4 linked regions of the Caenorhabditis elegans genome follow. The protein of the gene in region 4 interacts with the protein of the main gene of each other region in a pairwise test. Each region holds a gene or a part of one and is shown on either strand. Other genes may lie near its edges. The genes, in order: emc-2, rme-2, F10C1.1 and magu-2.

Evidence for each region.
Region 1: the proteins of magu-2 (region 4) and emc-2 interact in a two-hybrid assay, tested with the Caenorhabditis elegans proteins (one large-scale study listed by BioGRID).
Region 2: the proteins of magu-2 (region 4) and rme-2 interact in a two-hybrid assay, tested with the Caenorhabditis elegans proteins (one large-scale study listed by BioGRID).
Region 3: the proteins of magu-2 (region 4) and F10C1.1 interact in a two-hybrid assay, tested with the Caenorhabditis elegans proteins (one large-scale study listed by BioGRID).

The regions. Positions count from the first base shown.
Region 1 is NC_003280.10:1,301,385-1,308,534, forward strand, and holds emc-2 (ER membrane protein complex subunit 2), read right to left. Parts: upstream 4,753-7,150; 5' UTR 4,736-4,752; coding exon 4,699-4,735; intron 4,646-4,698; coding exon 4,512-4,645; intron 4,168-4,511; exon of another isoform or gene 4,117-4,167; intron 4,001-4,116; coding exon 3,812-4,000; intron 3,756-3,811; coding exon 3,672-3,755; intron 3,620-3,671; coding exon 3,461-3,619; intron 1,767-3,460; coding exon 1,671-1,766; intron 1,615-1,670; coding exon 1,510-1,614; intron 1,359-1,509; coding exon 1,278-1,358; 3' UTR 1,115-1,277; downstream 1-1,114. Other genes in the region: glb-31 (Globin domain-containing protein), read right to left, coding at 10-114; alh-6 (L-glutamate gamma-semialdehyde dehydrogenase), read right to left, coding at 5,001-5,217, 5,786-6,123, 6,173-6,631.
Region 2 is NC_003282.8:5,467,686-5,474,346, forward strand, and holds rme-2 (EGF-like domain-containing protein), read left to right. Parts: upstream 1-2,341; 5' UTR 2,342-2,343; coding exon 2,344-2,400; intron 2,401-2,448; coding exon 2,449-3,000; intron 3,001-3,047; coding exon 3,048-3,897; intron 3,898-3,942; coding exon 3,943-4,133; intron 4,134-4,182; coding exon 4,183-4,391; intron 4,392-4,435; coding exon 4,436-5,237; intron 5,238-5,286; coding exon 5,287-5,403; 3' UTR 5,404-5,489; downstream 5,490-6,661. Other genes in the region: T11F8.4 (non-specific serine/threonine protein kinase), read right to left, coding at 6,493-6,661.
Region 3 is NC_003280.10:5,771,406-5,775,403, reverse strand, and holds F10C1.1 (uncharacterized protein), read right to left. Parts: upstream 1,176-3,998; coding exon 984-1,175; downstream 1-983. Other genes in the region: Doublesex- and mab-3-related transcription factor dmd-5, read left to right, coding at 1,236-1,374, 1,737-1,901, 2,213-2,305, 2,720-2,941, 2,990-3,213; Intermediate filament protein ifb-1, read right to left, coding at 3,713-3,877.
Region 4 is NC_003283.11:8,797,550-8,803,783, forward strand, and holds the start of magu-2 (MAGUK p55 subfamily member 5), read right to left. Parts: upstream 3,480-6,234; 5' UTR 3,448-3,479; coding exon 3,273-3,447; intron 2,995-3,272; coding exon 2,885-2,994; intron 2,839-2,884; coding exon 2,754-2,838; intron 2,694-2,753; coding exon 2,606-2,693; intron 1-2,605.

The sequences.
Region 1 (7,150 bases), on a different chromosome or scaffold from region 4:
AAAACTCACCTCTTGGAAGTACTGATCGTTTCCATTGATATGATCCATCCAGACCGACCGAACCCTGTCGATATCAAGCTTGGGACGTCGGAAATACGCCAAAATTATGCCCATTTTTGGAATTTTTTTCAAATTTTCAAAAAAAAATTTGTTTGAAAATTTTCGTTTCCAAAAAGAATCTCAAAACATGCTAGAAATATTAGAAGTACTCAGAATATTGCAGAATACATTCAGAATCTGAAGACGTGCAAAAATTTGGAGGAAGACGGGGACCAAAATTGCTAATTAGCGCCCCTTTTAGGCCCCCCCCCCCCCGCGCTAATTTGTTTTTCTTTTTTATACAAATTAGCACCTCTTAAGAGGGAGCTCTTTTTGCTTTTTCTCTGTTTCTTAGGGGAGTTTCAGGAACTAAAATACGGAATTCTACGGAAAAATTCGAGAAAATTGGATTTTGTAGTTTGTAGCACGAAAATTGTGTACTTTCCGCTGATTATTATCGATTCTGATATCAAAAATTGAATTCTACACACATTTTTACCCTTATGCAGCTTTTTTCCGCAAATTTTAGAATTCTCTGCACTTTTGCGTAAAGTGTTCCATGTTTGCGTACTTTTGAGGCTACAGTAACCCGGAAATTTTTATTACAACTCGAATGGAGTCGAAAAAGTCTCGTATGGGTGAAAAAACATAAAAATCCAAATTTAAAACTGATAATGCACAAAAATCAATAATTTTTTTTTGGCTCAACATTTCTGAAAATTATCATTTTTCACTGATTTTTTAAACGATTCTGACACAAAAATTGAATTCTACACAAATTTTTACCCATGTATGGCTTTTTTCGCGCATCTTTCAGGTTTCTGTGCATTTTTGCGTGAGTCGCATGGTGTTTGCGTACTTCTGAGGCTACAGTAACCCAACTTATCGATTTCAGCGCCAAAAAGGAGCCGGAAAAACCGGAATAGATGTGAAATAACGCAAAAATTCAAGATTTTCAAGAAAAAAGTAGTTTTTAGTCTAAAAATTGCTATCAAAAATTGGTCTGCCAGACTACAAACTACAAAAAGCTATTTAGCAGACCCAAGACTCTAAAATGGAGCAAAAACGGTGGCAAAAATCATCACATTTATTTATTCTTGAGGAGTTCTTTTTTTCGATAAATATACTTTCGATAGACATTAAAAAAATTGAATTTTAACAGAAAATAAATAGGAAATAATCGAATATTCGGGGGAATGTACGTAAAGCATATCATTTTTTGGGAGGAAATTGACAATTTATTTGCTTCCAACAGTGACTTTCATGGCTTCGAGGCAATTGAGAATTCCGTCCGATTCTGGATTGCTTTTTGGACTTATCTGGAATTTTTTAAGGTTATTTTTAGAAAAATCACGATTTTTTTCGAATTTTTTTTTCAAAAAATTCAAGAAAAAACAGCCGAAATTCGGCATTTTTTGGAGTTTTTAGAGCTTTTTCCAATTAAAAACTATTAATTTTATCAAAATCTACCTTCTGATAACGATTAACCAAATTATCGATTGCATCAACTGCTGCAGCTCCGGCTTTCTTCTTTTCCGTCGCATTTTTGGTGGTCGCCGCGATCAAATTGTTGCTCTGAAACATTAATATAGACTACAAACTACAAACTACAAACTACAAACTACACTTACCAATAGAATTCCGTATTGAGATCTCAAATCGGTTGGGTTGATTTTGAGCGCACGTTCGTAGTAGGAACGAGCCAATTCCACGTTTTCGGCGCCTCCCTGCAAAAAATATAGTTTGGGTCTGCCAAATATGAATATGTAGTTTGTAGTCCAGCAGACCAATTTTTTCAAAATCACATGGGTCTGCTAAATCGAAATTTGTAGTTTGTAGTCCAGCAGACCAAGTTTTTCAAAATCACTTGGGTCTGCTAAATCGAACATTGTAGTTTTTAGTCTAGCAGACCAATTTCGAATTGAAATCACTTGGGTCTGCTAAATCGAACATTGTAGTTTGTAGTCTAGCAGACCAATTTTTTTCAAAATCACTTGGGTCTGCTAAATCGAACATTGTAGTTTTTAGTCTAGCAGACCAATTTCGAATTGAAATCACTTGGGTCTGCTAAATCGAACATTGTAGTTTGTAGTTTAGCAGACCAATTTTTTTCAAAATCACTTGGGTCTGCTAAATCGAACATTGTAGTTTTTAGTCTAGCAGACCAATTTCGAATTGAAATCACTTGGGTCTGCTAAATCGAACATTGTAGTTTGTAGTCTAGCAGACCAATTTTTTTCAAAATCACTTGGGTCTGCTAAATCGAACATTGTAGTTTTTAGTCTAGCAGACCAATTTCGAATTGAAATCACTTGGGTCTGCTAAATCGAACATTGTAGTTTGTAGTCTAGCAGACCAATTTTTTTCAAAATCACTTGGGTCTGCTAAATCGAACATTGTAGTTTTTAGTCTAGCAGACCAATTTCGAATTGAAATCACTTGGGTCTGCTAAATCGAACATTGTAGTTTGTAGTCTAGCAGACCAATTTTTTTCAAAATCACTTGGGTCTGCCAAATATGAATATGTAGTTTGTAGTCTAGCAGACCGAATTTCTTCAAAATCACATGGGTCTGCTAAATCGAAATTTGTAGTTTGTAGTCCAGCAGACCAAGTTTTTCAAAATCACTTGGGTCTGCTAAATCGAACATTGTAGTTTGTAGTCTAGCAGACCAATTTTTTTCAAAATCACTTGGGTCTGCCAAATATGAATATGTAGTTTGTAGTCCAGCAGACCAATTTTTTCAAAATCACTTGGGTCTGCTAAATCGAAACTTGTAGTTTGTAGTCCAGCAGACCAAGTTTTTCAAAATCACTTGGGTCTGCTAAATCGAACATTGTAGTTTGTAGTCTAGCAGACCAATTTTTTTCAAAATCACTTGGGTCTGCTAAATCGAACATTGTAGTTTTTAGTCTAGCAGACCAATTTTTTTCAAAATCACTTGGGTCTGCTAAATCGAACATTGTAGTTTGTAGTCTAGCAGACCAATTTCGAATTGAAATCACTTGGGTCTGCTAAATCGAAACTTGTAGTTTGTAGTCCAGCAGACCAATTTTTTCAAAATCACTTGGGTCTGCTAAATCGAACATTGTACTTTGTAGTTTGCATTGTAGCAGACCGTTCAATTTTTTTTAGTTTTCCTTAAAAAAAATCAATTTTCAATCATTTTCGGTAATTTCTCTATATTTTTTAAAAATTTCTTCATTTTTTGCATTAAAATAATATATTTTCGTTGAAAATTTGTTTTTCTGACATTTTTTTGACGGAAAACTGACAATTTTCGATTTTTTTTCTTCAAAAAAAAAAGTAGAAAAACGAGAAAAAACCAATTTCCATTGAAAATGTATTTGGGTCTGCTAAATATGAATTGTAGTTTGTAGCCCCCAGCAGGCCCAAATTTCTCCAATTTTCCACACACATACTTGAGTATATCTCAAATCGGCTAATCGTCTGAAATACATGGAATTCAGCGGCGAAATGAGCACACACTCCTCCAGGCAATGTACCGCCTTTGCCACGTCATTTTCGAGCAGGAAAAGCTCGCTGAGCTGAAGCCAAGCTTCTGGGTCGTTCAGGAAAATCTGAAAATTAATAAATTTTAGAGTTTTTTTTTTCTAGAAATCAAATGAAAACCTTCAGGTAATCGTTGATAGCTCGAATTGCGTCGAGACGCTTTCCCTGAGCGAGAAGAACCGCGACTTTTCGCTTGCGGAAGCTCTGAAAATTCAAATTATTAGAAATTTTGCAAAAAAAAAATTTCCTGAATTTTTTACATTATTATTGGGCTCATCCTCAACCAGTCGCTCATAAATATCCAACGCCTTCTGATAATGTTCCGTAGATTCCAACTGCATCGCTTTCAGCTTCAAAACTCGATTACTCTTCGGAAATTGTGCGTGAAGTTGGTCAATGCAATCCTGAGCCAGATCGACACGAGCCGCGTCGAGTGCTGCGATGCACACCTGAAAAAAATTGGAAAAATTAGGTGAAAATTCGATTTTCTCGTGAAAAATGAGTATGGGTATGCTAAATCGAAGCTTGTAGTTTGTAGTCTAGCAGACCAAATCTCCTCAAAACTACATTGGTCTGCTAAATATGAATTTGTAGTTTGTAGCCTAGCAGACCAAATTTCATCGAAACCACTTGGGTCTGCTAAATATGAATTTGTAGTTTGTAGTCTAGCAGACCCAAATTATTGAATTTTTTCTCGAAAATAATCATTTTTTCAGTAAAAAATGACCGTTTTTATTGATTTTTTCCAGTTTTTCGCCGAAATTTGTATTATTTTCACTATTAATCAACCAGAAACGTGATAACTTAGAAAAAAGCGTGGGTCTGCTAAATATAATACTGTAGTTTGTAGTCTAGCAGACCAATATGCTTTTCACCAAAAAAACCAGAAAATCTATGGTTTTTTTCTATTCAAAGCCAGATTTTCAGGATTTTCAGCGTTTTTCGACAAAATTTCAGCACCTGCTCCAACACAGCCCATTGCTCGTCTCCAAGAGAAGCCGGTGAGCGTGAAATAACGTGCTCCCAAATTTCGACGACCTCATCACTTCGTCGAACTCCGCATTCTCGCCACTTTTTCAGCGCTTGACGTCCTTCTGCAAGCATTTATCGATTTTTTTTTCAAAATTTGAATATTGTAGAATGTTACCATCGTAAGAGACTTGCGTCCACTCGGTTTCAACCATTTTCGGGAGGGAAATTTCTGAAAAATATTGATTTTTTCCAACTTTTTAATGGAAAAGTTCGGTTGGAAGGTATAAAAATAGCGAGAAAACTATAAAATAAACGGTTATAGCTGGAAAAAAGGAAAAAAAACAAAATTTATTATGCGATCACGGGGGAAAAAAAATTAAAATTCAGTGGTAAAGCAATAATTGTTGACCTAATCAAAAAGAAAACTATATTCTCAATATGAGAAAAATCGGAAATGAAAAGAAAAAAACAACATAATTATTCCATTGATGGATATTTCCAGTCAGTCAATGACACCGACGTCTCCTTAATCGTCAGCGGCGAGGTCCATCGGAGCCCATAGTGGGGGCCACCGGCCTTATCATTGGTTCCGGACAATCTGGAGCCTCCGAATGGCTGCTGGCCGACGATTGATCCAGTTGATTTGTCGTTGAGGTACATGTTGCCGACGGCGTCGCGGAGAACATCGCGAGCTCTGAGAAAAAAAAACACTTTGTTGAAAAACGTTTTTAACACAAAAATTCGCCTCAAAAATCTCGAAAAATCGATCGAAATCCAACAAAAATTCCAATAAAAAATACCGTAGCCCTTTAAAGGGACACACACTTTCACTGTTGGGTCTCGCCACGCTCAGGAACATCTTACTGTCGCTTTCAAATTTTTTGTTTGTTGTTATCGCTTTTTTTTTTCGATTTTTGCCAGTTTTTCTAGCTTTTCATTTGATTTGTGACGAAATTCGAGGGTTTTTATTGGAGAAATTGTGTAATTATCGTTTTTCGACATTTTTTAACCTATTTTGTTCGGTTATAGAGAAATTTCTTGAAAATTGCCGAAAAAACAGAATTTCAAGATTTCGAATTTTCCGGGAATAATTTTAAATCGACTTTTGGCAGTTTTCTTGTGCCTAAAATGTTGAATTTCAGCATTTTTGAACATAACAAACCCGAAAATTCGAGTTTTTCTTCTTTCCGCTGGGTTTTTAGATAAAATTTTTGAGTCCCTGAAAACCTGTGCAAAAACTTGTATTTTTTGTAGTTGCCAACCTATAAAGGAACTCCTTATCCTGCGAAAAAACGGCGCCAGTCAGCCCATAAGGTGTCGCGTCTTTCACAGTCGCGAGCACCTCATCAACCTTCGAATCCTCGTAGACCAGTACCGTCACCACCGGTCCGAACATTTCCTCAGTGAGAAGCTTGCTCTTCGGATCCGTCACAGTGATCAGGGTCGGCTCGATGAAGTATCCCGTTTTGTCGTCACATTTTCCGCCGAGCACCACATTTGCTCCGTCGGCTCCGGTTTTCGCAAAGTCAATGTAGGCCTTGAGCCTGGCAAACGCCTTATCATCGATCACAGCCGACAGAAAGACGGATCCATCGCGAACCTGTAAACTACAAACTACACAAAAATCGGCAAGCCAAACAGTGGCCTACATCTCCAAGCTTGATCTCTTTGTGAATCGCCGAGATTTTCTCGAGAATCTTTGGCCAAATCGATTTTGGCGCGTACATCCTGGAGCACGCCGAGCACTTTTGTCCCGAATATTCCCAGGCGGAACGGGCGGTTCCAGCGGCGACAGCGTCCACGTGGGCGGATGGATGCACAAAGTGGAAGTTTTTTCCGCCGCATTCTCCGATGAGTTTCGGAAAAGTCACATAGTTATCCAAATTCTCGGCGACTTTTCTCCAAATCGTCTTGAAAGTTGGCACGGAGCCAGTGAAATTGACAGCGCTCAAGTGTGGAGATGCGGTGATGACGTCACCGAAAACGGGGCCATCTGATGGCAAGAATGAGAGAATTCCAGGTGGCATACCAGCTTCCTCGAGGAGTTCGTAGATTATATAATTGGAGAGCACGGCGGTGTTCGATGGCTTCCAGAGGGAGACGTTACCCTGAAAAAATTGGGATAAAAATGATTTTTTTTTCGAGGGGAAAATGGCATTAAAATCGCGAATTTCATAGATTTCTCAAAAAAAAAAGTTAAAAATTCCAAAAAAATTGCCTGAAATCTCAGCATTTTGGGTCTGCTAAATCGAAACTTGTAGTTTGTAGCCTAGCAGACCCAATTTCTTCAAAACTACTTGGGTCTGCTAAATCGAAACTTGTAGTTTGTAGTCTAGCAGACCAAATTTCTTCAAAACTACTTGGGTCTGCTAAATCGAAACTTGTAGTTTGTAGCCTAGCAGACCCAATTTCTTCAAAACTACTTGGGTCTGCTAAATCGAAACTTGTAGTTTGTAGTCTAGCAGACCAAATTTATTTAAAACTACTTGGGTCTGCTAAATTGAAAATTGTAGTTTGTAGTCTAGCAGACCCATAGAATTGGGTCTGCTAAATCAAAACTTGTAGTTTGTAGCCTAGCAGACCAAATCTCTTCAAAACCACTTTGGTCTGCTAAATCAAATTTTGTA
Region 2 (6,661 bases), on a different chromosome or scaffold from region 4:
ATTACAAGGAAAAAGCACCGGAAGCTGTGAAAGACCATGAGATTCCAAATGCAAATCGAAGTGAGTTGAAATTGCGTTCAAAATAATAGGAAATTGACAACAAGATTAGGAAACTTTTGGAAAGTTTTGGAAAGTTTTGGAAAATTCTAGAAATCTCTGGAAAGTTTTGGGAACATAAGATAACTTTGAAAAGTTCCAGAAATACTCAGAATCTTCTGGGAGCATCTAGAAAATTTTCGGAAGCTTCTTCAAAAATCTGAAAGCTTTTGGAATCTTTTGAAACATTTTTCCCGTCGAAAAAAATCAACTGCAAACATTGAAATCCACGTGAAAGCAAAACTATTTAGAGAAATATAAAAATTAAATTCTAAAATGTTTCCACGTGAAAATTCCAACAAAAAAATCATGCTTGCCTGTTCATATACCTTCAGTTAGTCACTAAAATGCCAGACATCTTCGTACCTACCTGAAAATCCTAAGTCCTAATACCTACAAAATTTCCCGTTTCAGTTCCCGGAACCACACGGCTCAACGAGCCGAAAAACATCGAGGTCACGAATCACGAGGTGGATGATAAGACGACGGAGCGAGTCTATAAGAAGTTGAGGGAAAAGAAGAAGTCGACGGCAAAAGCGAAGCCAATCGATGCGAAGAGCAAGCTTCTGTTGGATCGAGTGCCGAAAAAACCATATCGATTGAAGCATAAGCCCGATGGTATGATGTTATGCGACGAGCCATCCACTTTCTACAAAACCAACAATCCGAAGAAGAAAGTTGAGACCTCTTTACTTCCCGTTGAGGATTCTTATGATCACGTTCGAAAATTGGAGGACATTAAGAAGGAGCCAGAGCAAGATGTGTACAAGGGTCAGGACGTCCCCACCTGGGCAGTAAATATAGAACCGACTGACGAGGACATGGTGAGTGAACTTTTTTTTTGAAAGTTCAAGTAAAAATTTATTTGCAGAAAGAGACCGACGAGGCGATCACGGTGAATACTGATCATTCGGAGATGTACCGTAACAAGAAGCTCAGTCTGAAAAGCATTCCCCCACGAAGCTTGTGCTCAACGAGCTACAACCGTTGGTGGAGTTGAAGAAGAGAGATGAAGTTCACTTTGAGACCAGGCTGGTGTTCTCCAACACGATTAGGAGTCTGTTGCTTGTCCATGAGAGTGCTCGAGCGCTGAGTGACGGAAAAGTGGATGATGAGTTTTCCGACAAGAAGGTGTCGTTTGATACACCGGAAGCTACATACATCTACTCGGTGAGATATTCCTGGCCGGGGTACAGCTAATTGAAAGTTTTCAGCGAATCAACCCAATCGAATCGGTCAAAGCGGCTCGTTCTGGAAATTGACACGCCAGCACTTCTACCACCAATACAACCATATCGAATTGGAACTGAACTTGATTTTGTTTTGCTTTTATCGATAAAGTGTATGTTCAGGGCTTACTTTTGAGAATTTTACTTATTTTAAAAAGGAAATGCGAGCAACAAAGTGAAAAATGTATGTCTGATTTTGAAATGCTCATTTCCTTTGAGGTTTCCATTTTTGAGTTGCCCGTAATTTGTATTTTTCTGAAGATGAGCAATTCAATTTTTAAATTGCCCGCACCTCTACCGTTTCCATCGTGTATTTTGTTAAAATATTCACAGATTAACCCATTTACCGTTTCATCCACCTGTTTTTCCTCGAAAAGATTCCAATGTTCTATAATTCTACAAAACTTCCCACGCGAGAAACAACTGTAATAAACTGAATATATTATCTATCGCATCGTTTTCAACCAGAATTAAGCAAGAGTTTCCACAACTTTAAACACCAACAACGCAATCCTAAATCATTTGCAAGATTTTATTTCAGATGCTACACTTTCTGCCTGAAAAAAATTCTGAAAAGCCGAACAATAATTCATGGTAACAATGAATGGCAGATACATCAAAGTTTTAGATGAACAATTTTTATGTATTAAATGTACATTTAAAAACAAATTGCACAACGATTCTACTACTGTCGCACTAATTTTACGTATGTCTGTACTTGAAGATTTCGAATTAATTTGTTCAATATTGTGTTAAAATGTTTGATTTATACACTCAAATCTTTAAAAGATTTATTGGAAAACATAAATGGTTAATTTAAACCAAAAATTTCCATCAAGCCTTTTCTGAAAACACTAAAATTATTTTCGTGGTGGGACCAGGCGCGCGCGTCCCATGATGTTCCTTTAATCAAAATGCATTTCTGTCCCGGCGGGAGAAATTGAATTTTCATTTTAAGGCGCGAATTTTTGCCTAAAAACGATGCCATTCTTTCATTCTTTTCATAATCTCACTCACCATGAGAACCATGCGCCTTGCTTGGTTGCTCCCACTTTTTATTCACATACTAATCAAGGTAATTTCCCCGTTTTTCTAGTTTTTTCAATGTATTTTCATGTTTCAGAACACAGCTCAAGCTCCGGCTGTCAACAACTCGACATGCGATCAAGCAAAGGAATTTGATTGCGGGAACGGGAGACTCCGATGCATTCCCGCGGAGTGGCAATGCGACAACGTAGCGGACTGCGACAACGGAAGAGACGAATCGGGCTGCTCATATGCGCATCATTGTTCGACAAGCTTCATGTTATGCAAGAATGGACTGTGTGTCGCAAATGAGTTCAAATGCGACGGCGAAGACGACTGCCGCGATGGAAGCGATGAGCAGCATTGCGAGTACAATATCCTGAAGTCTCGCTTCGATGGTTCCAATCCTTCGGCTCCTACCACTTTCGTTGGTCACAATGGCCCAGAATGCCATCCTCCTCGTTTACGATGCCGATCAGGACAATGTATTCAACCAGATCTCGTTTGTGATGGACATACGGATTGTTCTGGAGGAGATGATGAGGTCAACTGCACCAGAAGGGGACATGAAAATATGCAGTCCTCGACTGATTTTCACGATGATGTTCATCTTGTCGATCCAACCTTTTTCGCTAATGAAGACAATAAGGTAATTGTTTAATGTTTATTAATACCGTTTTAACTTTTATTTTTCAGTGTCGGAGTGGATACACAATGTGCCATAGCGGAGACGTCTGCATACCTGACAGTTTTCTTTGTGACGGCGATCTAGATTGTGATGATGCTTCGGACGAGAAAAACTGCCAAACTAATGCTCCAAGCGAAGAAGAATATCTTTCTGGGCAAGCCGATCACATGCATTCGTGCTCAGCAGCAGGAATGTATTCTTGTGGAACAAAAGGATCCGAAATTGGCGTTTGTATTCCGATGAATGCCACGTGTAATGGGATCAAGGAGTGTCCACTAGGAGATGACGAGTCAAAACATTGCTCCGAATGTGCCAGAAAGCGATGTGACCACACATGTATGAACACTCCACACGGGGCTCGCTGCATTTGTCAAGAAGGATATAAGCTTGCCGATGACGGACTCACTTGCGAGGATGAAGATGAGTGTGCAACTCATGGGCACTTGTGCCAGCATTTCTGTGAAGATCGTTTGGGTTCCTTTGCATGCAAATGTGCCAACGGTTATGAGCTTGAAACGGATGGGCATTCTTGTAAATACGAGACAACCACTACGCCAGAAGGATATTTGTTCATCAGTCTTGGTGGAGAAGTTCGACAGATGCCATTGGCAGATTTCACCGATGGTTCAAATTACTCGCCGATTCAAAAGTTTGCTGGCCACGGAACCATCAGATCGATCGACTTCATGCATCGCAACAACAAAATGTTCATGTCAATTTCTGATGAGCACGGTGATCCAACTGGCGAATTGTCAGTGTCCGACAATGGATTGATGAGAGTTCTTCGAGAAAATGTCATTGGAGTGAGCAACGTGGCAGTCGACTGGATTGGTGGAAACGTTTTCTTCACACAAAAATGTATGTTTATCTAATGTTTAAATTTTTCATTTGTGATTCTTACAGCTCCATCTCCAAGCGCTGGGATTTCCATCTGCACAATGAGCGGAATGTTCTGTCGCCGAGTTATCGAAGGCAAAGAACAAGGACAATCCTATCGTGGTCTTGTTGTTCACCCGATGCGCGGTCTCATCATCTGGATCGATTCTTATCAGAAATATCATCGCATCATGATGGCTAATATGGATGGGTCTCAGGTGAGTCGTCGAGTCGATCTGATTTAGTTCATTTCTAAATAAATTTCAGGTCAGAATCCTTCTCGACAACAAGTTGGAAGTTCCATCAGCTCTTGCCATCGACTACATCCGCCACGATGTCTATTTTGGAGATGTTGAACGTCAGTTGATCGAAAGAGTCAATATCGACACGAAAGAGCGCCGCGTAGTGATTTCGAACGGAGTTCATCATCCGTATGACATGGCTTACTTCAATGGTTTCCTATACTGGGCAGATTGGTAAGACATCTTATCTAATTTATATTTTCAAATTTATTTTTCAGGGGAAGCGAGTCATTAAAGGTTCAAGAGATGACCCATCATCATTCGAGTCCTCAAGTCATCCATACTTTCAATCGTTATCCATATGGTATTGCTGTCAATCACTCACTCTACCAGACTGGTCCTCCATCAAACCCATGCCTTGAACTCGAGTGCCCATGGCTCTGCGTTATTGTGCCAAAGAGCGATTTCATTATGACTGCCAAGTGTGTCTGCCCAGACGGATACACTCATTCCGTCACTGAAAACTCTTGCATCCCGCCTGTGACGATTGAGGACGAGGAGAACCTTGAGAAGCTTTCCCACATTGGATCTGCTTTGATGGCCGAATACTGCGAAGCTGGTGTCGCGTGTATGAATGGAGGAGCCTGCCGTGAACTACAAAATGAGCACGGAAGAGCTCATCGCATCGTTTGTGATTGTGAGGGTCCATATGACGGGCAATACTGCGAACGGCTCAATCCAGAGAAGTTCTCCGCAATGGAAGAGGAAGATTCGTCCTTATGGCTTATCGTTCTGCTTCTCATTTTTCTCATCATCGTTGCGGTAGTCGGAATTATTGCCTTCCTTTGGTTTTCTCAACAAGAGCATATGAAAGATGTGATTTCCACTGCCCGTGTCCGTGTTGATAACATGGCTAGAAAAGCGGAAGATGCTGCAGCTCCAATTGTCGAGAAGTTCCGCAAGGTCACTGATAAGCAGAGGAGCACGCCTCCTAGAGAAGGTTGTCAAACGGCAACAAACGTTGACTTCGTTTCCTACGAGACAAATGCTGAGAAAAGAATTCGGATGGACTCTTCGCCGGTGAGATCTTTTTTTAGATATTTTTTATATAAAAATTGATTAATTTCAGACGTCATACGGAAACCCCATGTACGATGAAGTTCCTGAATCGTCAACTGGTTTCGTCAGATCGGCTTCCGCACCATTCGCTGGAGTCATTCGATTTGAGAACGACAGCTTGTTGTGAATTCTACTACAAAATTACTAAATCAGATGTCTGTAAAGTATATCTATTTTTGCCTATTTATTGCATGAAAGTTGATAATGTCTACTAGTACTGTTGTTTTATACTCTTTAAATGACAATCGAGATGTGAAACACATTTCTATTTCTAATAGTTTTATTAGAAACTTGTTACATCACTGTTTAGAACACGGATAGACGGCGTCAAGAAAGAACAACAAAATCATTTGGAAGTGATTATTAAATAAGCGGAAATTATTTTTAACCATTGAAAGATGGGTATTTCTACATTCGTGGTTCAGATTCGGAACTTTGTGATTTTTGCATAAATAATACGGCGCTAGGTCTTGGCACGATAATTTTTTTTAATTGGAAACAGACGGTGTGCGCCTTTGAGAACTACTGTAACTTCAAACTTCCGTTGCAGATTTTTCGTCGATTTTTCATAGTGTTTCTCATGGTTTGTTAAAATTTATTTCTTTTTATTGTTTTAATTTTTTTAAATATTAAAAAATCTTATCGAAAAACTAAATATAAAGAATCGATTAAAATTCCGCAGCAGTCAAAGTTTGAAATTACAGTACTCGGCAACCATTTTGTAGTTACCAAAAAAGCGTGTCGAGACCGGACACCGTATTCTTGCGCAAAATTTCGCGTCTCGGCAATCATTCCGCACAAAAAATTCTGCTAATTTTGAAATGTTTCAAAAAATATTTTCAGTTTCAAAATTTATTGAAATTTAAAATACACAAGAAACTTTTGGAACGTTGAAAAAATTGTTCAGCCTTTTTTATATATTCAATTTTTCGATTTTTTTTTGTTGATATTTTCCAGTTTTCGGAATAAAAACTTCGAAAACTTCTTCCACTTTTCAGAAGTGTCTGCTTTTAGGTAAGAAAAAAGTTCATTTAATATAAAAAATACATCTTCTAGTTATTCAGCAGCAAAAATAGTTTGTATTAAACTTCCCGGTTGTGATGAAATTATTTCTAAGCTTCTGATAACTGGATGAAAAAGTGAAATAGAAGAAATCGGTTCAACATTTTTGAAAGTCAAAAACTAATTTATTCGAGTAGTATTCATACTAAATGATTCAAGTTCCTTTTGGTTTTTTCTTGGATGCAGGGACTACAAGCACTGTGGGATGAACCAATGGGGCAACATTCAATCTCTTCGAGTTGGCTGACGACTCCTGCTTCTCCTTTCTGAGATGAGATTTATGTGGAGTTTTATGTGGAATTTTAGTTGTTGTTCTCGACCGT
Region 3 (3,998 bases), on a different chromosome or scaffold from region 4:
GCCGAAATCCAATCAAAACACAAGCATGAGCTTTTGCATTCGCAAATTCTAATTACAAGGGGGTGTCCACAACCAACACTCTTCTCCATATGTTATGATTATTGTTGTTAGCATACCCTTCCTTAGCCTCTTTAATACGTTTTGCGGTAATTTAAATTAGCATCTCAATCTCTACTAGTTATTTGTCATGATACCTTGTGATTATTACGCGGTTAGGCCCGATGCTTTTGTGGCAAACTTGTAATTATTCTGATGTTTAGAGAGCACACGATTTCAAATTGCAGCCTCTAAAATTGGTGTGTACGCGAATCTAGTAAGATGTAAACTTTATTGAAAACACTTTCAATTTTATTCTAAGAATTTCTTGTTGTGGTGGTTGGCAGGTGATTGATGGCTCGTGATTTGGCATATGGTGATGATATTGATTCCATAACTTCCATTCAAATCTTGAGAGAAGTTGCGCTACTTGCAGCAGGATAGGAATGTGTTCACATTTTTTGAACAAAATTAAAGTTTCAATGTTTTGTGGGTACAGTTTTTGAAAATGCATATCTCCAAGCGTCACCATTTTTCAACTCCGGAATTTTGAAATATGGCAACCATGGCCTAAAACAAAATGCAGGTCAAGTGGCTTATTTGATTTGATAGTCCCTACTCACTATCAGAAACTCGCCACACCTTCTCAAGAAAGGCTAGAAGCTTTTAACCAAGTTTAGCCAACTTTCGGTAGTTTTTCAGTGCTCATTTTTGGGATCATCCAAAATTTAACCAGCTTTACCTAACTTTTGCAACTTTTGCGATAACTTGCTAAAGTTGGTTGAAACGTTGCGACATACTGTCGAGTTATAGGCGATTAAGCAAAGAGCAGTTTATCCAGTTTTTTTCGATTTAAAACTATTTGATTACCGTATATTTTCAACATTCCTAAATATAGTGCCTTGTTATACACCCACTTGATTATTACCAAATTACTCAATGTTTTCTCACAGTCTCTTATTTTTTCTTTTCCTTCTACTACTATCTCTGGATATATCTGTTTCATTTGATCCTACAGTAACCCCTCTTTCCCCGACACCCTCTTCACAAAGGGTGGAGCTTCTTCCGGTTGGTGGTCCGCGCGAGCACTGATCGAAGAGCAAAAGGGGTGGGACTTGAGCATTCCTTTTGGGAACCATTACCTCTCATTCTGATATTATAACATTTCACCTTATTCACAACAAAATATTTTAAACAGAATGCCTGTTTCTCCGTCGTCAGTATCTGTGCTACCGCCAACTAGCCTCGAACAGATTCTTCGAATTCGTGCAGAGAGGAATCAAAGGACTCCGAAATGCGCGAGATGTCGGAATCACGGAACTACTTCTGCATTGAAAGGTTCGTATTTTAATATTCCATCAAAACAATTAACCATATTCATCAGTCTCATAGAATAAAAAATAAAAACCGAGATTCAAGCTGTCAAATTAAGCAAGACTACCAGAAAAATCATTTTGTTTAATCCTTAATCGAAGTACAAAATTTTTTTCAAGTGCATGTAATAGTTCCAGTAAAGCTTACTTCAAAATATAAGGGGACAATAACACTCGATGCTCCGGCTTCTGTTAAAACCATAAAATAAGTTGCTCTATAAGAACTTTCAATTTTTGGAAACACATCACCGATCTTGCCATCTTTGCGTGATTTGTGCTCTCGTGGAAAATCTAGAATTTAAATGTAATATTCCATAAACTTTCCAGGTCACAAACGTTACTGTCAATGGAAGGATTGTATGTGTGCAAAGTGCACATTAATTGCCGAAAGACAACGAGTTATGGCTGCTCAGGTTGCTCTTCGTCGTCAGCAATCTCAGGAAGAAAGAGACGCAAGAGATTTGGAAGTACTTCTGGGTTCTGCTGGAAATGGTAAGTCAGCTTATTTAAATATTCGGGGATTAAGCTGTGGAATGCTGGTGCTGAATCAGTGCATGTGTTTTTCCCGATCAAGTATTTCCGGTCATTTTTCATTCAAGTTGTGTCTTGAACAAGCTTCCCGCTGTGCTCGAGGTGCTAGACTAACTATTGGGTAACCTGACACTAATATGACCTATACTTGTTACAATACTAATAGTTCATTAGGGTCATCTTTGTATGCTCACACACCTTCTACAATGACACATTGTTCTCTTTTTTTATAGAATAACACGCTAACTTTTTATTTAATTTCTATTTTTTAGCGAATGATCTCCTCGATATTCTTCGTCTCGATGCCGGTGAACATCACGGGAAAAACCACGCTTCTCCGACGACCAACAACAATAATAATACTGGTGAGTCGACATGACAGCCTGTTCGAGACAGAGAAATGAGAGTGCGCTCTCTTCTTCCCGCAGTAATGTGAAGGCTACGGAGCGCCGCGTCGAATGGCCAGCACGATGGCCGAGTGGTTAAGGCGTTGGACTTAAGTTCCAATGGTGGATAACACCTCGTGGGTTCGAACCCCACTCGTGCTAAACTTTTTGCGTATTCGGAAACAGGTGCACTTTTACCCCATCTCCATAATCCCCGTACCTGGTTGCGTAAGTCAATTAGCTAGAGAGCACTGTAAGCTTTACGAGAAGCAGATGCATTTGAGAGGGATAAGCTATTCACAATATTGATGGGATTAATCTAGATTAGCACTTTACAAGTCAATTGCTCTCATTTAAAAGATTAACCTTAACTAACCTTGCACTACCTTTCAGAAGAAAAATACGAAGACTCACAGGGACAACGGAGTTCACCAAGCTCTCCAACAGGTTCTGAAACTGTTGTAAGCACTTCTTCCCCACCTGAGCTCTCATCTGAATCAACACCAAATACCAGTGGCTCAGTGATTCCAACAAGTCCAGTTTTCAAACCAAATGGATACTCTTCAATGCCAATGTTCAATCCTGTGTATGGAAGACCATTCATGAGATTTCCGAGTAAGAGAGCTTATTCAATATTATTTCGTAAATTAAACTTATTTTCAGTGTTTTCAGTGATGCCGCATTTCTTCGGAACTCCATCAATGTCAGATTTCGCATCTGCTGCGAGCCTCGCAGCTCCACCAGCGTTCTTCTCAGCCCAGCCAACAATTGCCACGTCATCACCGAGCACAATTTTCCCACAAACTGCTCCATTGGATTACAGTCATCGTTTAATGAAAAATGAGGAAGCCGAAGAAGAATACCGAGAAAATGATAAAACATTTTGAGAAATTGAATATTTTTTCTTATCGTCAGAATCAGAGTTCCAATACTTTGTATATTTTTATATGGTCACATTTAAAATTGTATTTATGATTTGTCTTCAATTAAAAAAAACTAAACTGAATAAAAAATCTTATTAAAATTGAAAAAGAAGTAGAAAACATTGAATAGAAAGATTTTTCGGTGGAAAATGAGCGGGGGGAAACACTTGAAGTTTGAACGGGAAAAGCAGTGTATTATGAAAAGAATTGCAAACGTTTTTGTTCTTTTTTTGATGTTTTTTAAAATGAATTTCAGATTAGCGATTTTAAGTGAAGAGTCTTAAGCAAATCAATTCAATATTTTGGTCAGTTTTAGGCAGTTTCAATGAATCAATTTAAAGAAAAAATGTCGAGAAGGTCTATCATCAAGAATAATAAGAAAATTATGGACAGAAACTAGAGAACTTGAGTGATTTTGGGGAGTTGTTTAAAAGAGAAAAAGTTGTTTAAAAATAATGAGAGCTTATTGTCCGGATTGGATGGTCTTCTGGGTGTGTGTTGCACGCTCCTCTCCATCCTTGTTCACCAATGACGTCACAACATTGGCTCCGATTCCCCAGGTGTTCTCTCCATCGAAGACAAGAGACTCTGGTGGGTTGTTGATGCCTCCTTGGTCACGGGCGTAGATCTGGAAATTTATTGGAATTGGAATATTCTCTTTTCGAAATTATGTAGATTAGTTTCTCAGCAAATGCGAGAAACCCTTAGACTAACCCGAAACGATTAAATTTCATAATGAGACCTCTCAG
Region 4 (6,234 bases):
GCTTCTCACTAACATGTTTATTGGAATAAAATACAAAAAAGTAAAGTCTCATTTTTCCAACAAGAGCTGACGTATTTTAAACCAAACGAAATATAAATTGTTAAATCCCAAGTTATATTTATTGAATGCATTCCACTTATGGAGTGAATCTAATTAGAGGCTCAATTCATTTTCAAAAGAGTGGTCTAATAAGAAAAAAAAAAATGTAGTTGAGTTTCAATTTTTTGAAAATCAAAAAGTTTAAAAGTAAAATTTGAGGAGAACCCAGACTTTGTAAAAAATCAAAACTGAATGTTTGCAGTTTGGATTGAAAAATTGACATACTCGGTTTTGTGACTAAACAACTTGACACGTACTTATTATTATTACGAAGTGTGGTAAGAGGTGTTACCAAAACAATTTGAAGAACATTCGATCATAATGTTGGTTTTGATTTTCTCTTCCAAAAATCATTATGAAGATGAAAATGTGGAAAACCATGCTGGTCACCCAACATCAACCAAATCTAGTCCTAGAATAATTCCCCATTCAGCCTGACTCTCTTCATGACAATTGTATACAAAGTGGTGCAGGTTGAGGGAAAAGAGGAAGGTGAGAGTGAGTGAGGGTCGAAACAATAGACGGTATTGTAGTTGTTCACACACAGTCCGTATTGCATCTTCATCATCTTTCGTGCGCGCTTCTTCTACTTTTATGTTTGCTCATCACCAGCTTTACATTTGAGGTCCCGTTTGCGCATCCCTTCCTATTGGGGAAAAGATGTATACAAATACATATTTATGAAAACCACGATTTAGAAGGTGGTGGCTATGATGTATAAATATTTTTAAGCAATGATGAGACATATCGGGAAAGTAGCAAAACACTAAGAAAATGAAAGGTTCTAAAAATGAATATTACATATAGTAGCTGAAAAAATAATTTTTGAATCAACAATATTTAAATTATACAGACTAATTTCTAGAATTCGAACCCAATATATTTCCAAAAATTGCAAATTATTCCTATACTCCTTGAAATTTTCGAAACATTAGAAAAGTAATAAAATATCTTCTGCTCCACTGATAATGATAACTTAAAATAATTTGCCACTTGATAACAAATATAAAAGCAAAATTTTGTTAAAGTCGCGATAACTGTGTCCATCACCAAACAGTTAACCGATCCACAACTACACAAAAACCGTACCGTCCTCAAAAATTTATGATGCATGAAATTTGCACAATGATGACAAAAAGAGGAACGGTTAGGGTTGAATGGAAAAAAAGAAAGTGTAAACGGATTCAATAATTATTTGTTAAATTTTTGGGTTTGGAAAGAACGGTGCAATTGACAATTGTCGACAAGGAAAAGTGAGGAGACGAATGGAAAGCAATAAATGGTTTATGTCAATAAATAACAATGTGTGTCTAATGTGTTGGAGTTTGATGTATTCGTTATGACCTTTCACCCATTTTTGGAAAGGTATTCCCCCGAAAATAAAATTCTGTGACTCTTTGTAATTTGAGAGAACGGCAGTCGTTGCTCCTTATTCAATTTTTGACGATTGAATTAAAGTTTTGCAGAACATTTCCTTTGAAAAAGTGTGTTGAAATTTTAGCTGCAGCTGTATAAAATCTTTTTCTGATAGTTTCAGTCGTGCTAAAAGGGTGCTAAAAGTCATTGCTTTTCAAAACATACAAGAATCAATAAATTGAAAGTAACATGTTATTCCAAAGCTAGGCAAGAGTTTAGCTAACTGTGAACATACAAAAAATCTCAAAAGCGTAGTAAATTGTAATAAAGAACTGTAACGTTCTGAAACCCTAACAACCTGCAATTATCACAAGTCAGACAACCTTCGAAACGAAGAGAACACAGAATTTGAGTGATGATAGTTTTTTGATAAATAGTGTAATGAGACAGAAACATTTAAAAAGTTGATGAAAGAATAAGAAAAAAGGAATGAGAAAGAGAGAATGAGTGTGATAAGCGCAATGGGAGGTTCTATTACTTGAAAATGCCACTGACTGTGAAATAGAATATCAGGGAGACATAAAAAAGAATCGCCAGGTTGACTGATTAATCACTAGATTTATTGATATATTTGACGACGGAACTCTCCGTTTTTTCTCTTTTTTTTTCTCCATTTTTTGTCTTCACCTTGACAGATTATTGGTTTGTGACATACTAGACGTGCCGACTAACTGTGTGAAATACTAGAATGTGACCTATATAGTTGTGAAGACTGGACGAACGAGAATTCCAAATTAGCTCACATTCATAATCTCAGTGTTTTTGTGTTTCCCTGCCCGTCAGAAAGTTTCGAGGCCATTAATTAATTTCTAGAAAGCAGGTCGACGAGTGAACAACAAAGATTTTAAAGAAAATGAAGAGAGATGAATTTTTTAAGTGAAATGAAATAAATATGAGAACTTTTCAAGAACATTGATTTGCCAAAAACCAAATCTTAGTGGTATTTGCACTATTTGTCATATATTCACTGTTTATGCATATACCATAAATAGAGAGCACTTAAGAACTCTTCTTTCCGTTCTTTACACGTTCCGCTTCTCACAGATAGTATCGCAGAGAAGAAAATCTCTCTCAAAAAAAGATTACTCACTTTTTCAGCCGTTTAGTAACTTCCTTGATATGATCCTTATCCACGGAAACTAGATATGCATCCGTTATCATACGATTCGAATTTGTGCCTGAAATTAAACAAAAACTAAGTATTAAAAAGGAAAAAGTATAAACTTTTTTTTACTCACAGTTAAAAACAGAAGCTTCATTTTCTGCTGGAATTTCTAATGCACGACGTCTAACTTTCAGCTGAATGATTTTTCGACGAATACACTGAAATTTGAAATTTTGCAAGAAAGTATCATAAATTTTATCAAACTTCTTGAATATAAGTTGTGACTTCCTCATAACTTTTTCCTTCTATTTTCATGTCATTTACCCCAACGATTTCATCTCCAATGCTCAATCCTGCTCTTTCCGCAGCAGTTCCTGTAATGGAAATCGATTATTTTTTCAGAAGTCTGCATAAAATTTGTAAAGCACTTTATATCTGATTTCCAGACACCTTGAAAAAAGCGAAAAAAATTGCGATATAGGTTAAAAAAACGCCCACTTTGCCGATGCCATCAACGATTTGGAGAATCGCATTAGTACAAATGTTCGTTGACAAAATTTCAGTAAAAATTCATCAAAATTGCAAATTATTTCAATAAAAATACTTCAAAATGTTTTTATAAATTAGTCAAATAAAATTATCTTTTACTTACCGTACAGCCGAACAACCTTCTCTTCTCGTTCAACCAAAATTACAAAACCACTCAACGGCGTCGAAGTGCTCACAACGGTCTTCTTATTTCCAACACCACGTGCACTGCTCAACCGTCTCAAGGATGTCCTTTTCAAGTCGGACAGTGCCTGTGGTATCGACACCGACTTGGACATTTGATACTCGAGCCACTAGATGAAGGCTGAAAATTTTTTGGGAATATTATTTCCAACGAAAGCGAAAATAAGAAAATGAGAATCCAAATTTCTGAAAATAAAGCAATAACTGAATCGGAATGGAATTTATGAGTAGGTGAAATGAAAAAAGTTGTTTTGAAATCTCGTGGTTTTCATTTTGAATGATGAATGCTAGGATTCCGGGATCTGCTCAAAACTTGGATCTAAAAATAATCATAAACTTGAAACAAATGAATAGAAATGTCAGAATCACTCGAAAAACTGCTACTTCATGTAAGCGTTGTTGCGTGAATAATTGAGACAGAAAAAGAACCGAGAAGAAGAGTTGTGATGAGTGCACTTTCTTAGTTAATTGCTTTTTTTCTTTTCTTCTGCAATTGTTTTTTGTGTTTCAAGAGCTTAAAGAGGAATGGGGGATAAGAACTAAAAGACTTGAAGCGCTTTTGATGAGATGGACTTTTTGGGGTAAATTGGAAAAAGACCGACAAAAATGGGAATAGTTGAAGAGAAAATTCAAAATAACAAAAAAAGGGAGCTGTGTATAAGGGGTACTGTATGTCTTAAAGTTGAGAACAGAGGTTATGGACAAAAAAATAATCTTAAAGTTATCTGAGAAAGTTACGGTATCATAGAACATATTTGCCAGATAACAAATTTCTAAATTGTTGCCAAATTAAAAATGCAATCTTAATTATTGACTCACGAAAAGCACAATTAAAAGACTCCACATATCAATACAATATTTTTATCTGTAGTGACATTTTCTAGATTGATAAAAACAGCTACTTTAAAGATTTTGAAAGTAAATTTTAAGTTTTTCCTTTGAATTTCAAAAATACACTTCTAAAATTAGGCATATCAGTGAAAGTTTGCGTATTTCAAGGAAAACAGTAAGTGCAGCTGTCAAGCATGCTGCAAGCAATTAAAATTACACACACTCTCTAAGAATTCATAAAATTGTCTTGTCACGTTTGTTCAATCAAAAAAGATGAGGTCTTCAAAGTATCCATGAGCTCAAGACACACGGAATGAAGCACTAAATAATAGCTTTTCCCGGGGATAAAAAATTGAACGAGACAGATGAAAACAGTGGTCCAGATTGATGATATTGACATTCATTCCACTAGTTCAGTGTGACAGGGAGATGGATAGATTGGGAATGAAAACTGGATGAGAGAGCTTGAGATTTAGAGTGACAAATAATTATGGGGGATCCTCTTGAGAGAATCGCACCGAAACTATGTGCATCGTGTCCGGCAGAGGGAAACTAAAAAAAAAGATTTTTGACGCCATTGGTGTGTCTTCTGTGTCTTTTTCCACAGAGTCTCGAGTATAAAAAGTGAGAACGAAGAAGATACAGATAGTCGAGGATGGGGCAAAGAGAGAAAGGAAGATGGCGGTGTGGGTGGGAGAGCACAAGAAGGTCCAGTCTGGGGACAGAAAGAAGCACATGGAGCAAGAAAGAGAAAAGGAGATGGTGAATTGTGACATTCGACCCGCAGGGATTTGAAGAGACGCAGGCCGCATAGAAAGAACAAGCTATAAGATAGAGAATAGCCAGCTGATTAGTGCTGATTTCATTGATCAGCTCATCTATCTTCAACATGTCGTCTTGTAATTTTCTCTGAGACAAATTACGCCGATCTTCTATTGTGACTCTCGTAGCTTTGAAAAAAAACCAAGACAAATAACACTACTATTATGGTTAAAGTTCGTAACTTAAAAAAAAAAAACTTTTTTCACCCGCCTCTCGGATCTCAGTCATTTTTAGGCTAGTTTCGAGTTTGATGGGCATATTTTATTTTGTATAGAATGCAAAAAACAAATATGGATTTTGAGAATAAGTTGTGAGAAGATATTGTGAAAAACATAAACGTCCATCGTTGATAATCTTCACAAAACGTTTGTCGAGAAACTATGATTTTATGCGGAAATTATGCAAACAGTTTTTTGAAATTCTAAAACATATTAAAATTTCAAAATATAACCATTTAAACTAAATAGGAAAACTAATTCGCTTAATCAATTTTGAAAAAATTTTGAACCGTACGCATTTTGTTCAATCTCTAGAGAACTAGCGACACTTTTAAAAACTTACCGAATTTCTTGTATTTCTCTTGAAATACTTTTGGTTTAAAATTTTGTGTGGAAAATACTTTGAGATTGTAAGGATTTTATGTTTGAAAATAATAACGTTCATAGAATGTATATGAGTCAATGGAAGAAAACTTTTTTACAGTATCAAAATTTATAGTCAACCTGCTGCAATTTTATATTCAGCAAGTTTTACAGGAAGTCAAAATAGCAATAAGAAAGTCAAACTCAAACAAAAGTGTTTTTACATAAATGAAATATTCACATGAAAATTATTTTTGGCAGTTATCCTAGAGAAATTGCATAGATTAGATTAAATTAAGAAAAGTAAAGTCAACGAGACCTTCAAATAACTTTCCTCCGCCGTCAAAGCGTGTTTAACTGGCATTCGAGAACAAATCTAGATAGATATGATCTCCTTTTCTGTGGAACCAACCATCTCCCTTTCTCACTTTTCTTCACTCGTTCATCAACGTCGCCGTGAGAAACGTTTCCAATTTCCGGCTTTTTGGTTTTTAGAAGTATGGCTTTAGAGATCTCCACACTTCTATTTTTCTGATTCCAAACACTTTCAAAAATGAGCGAAGAAATTTGGAGAAAAGAACCAAAAAGAAGGGAATTGAAGGGGTTCCTAGAAGTCCCAAACGAGTGGTTTTAGAAAACGAAAAGCAG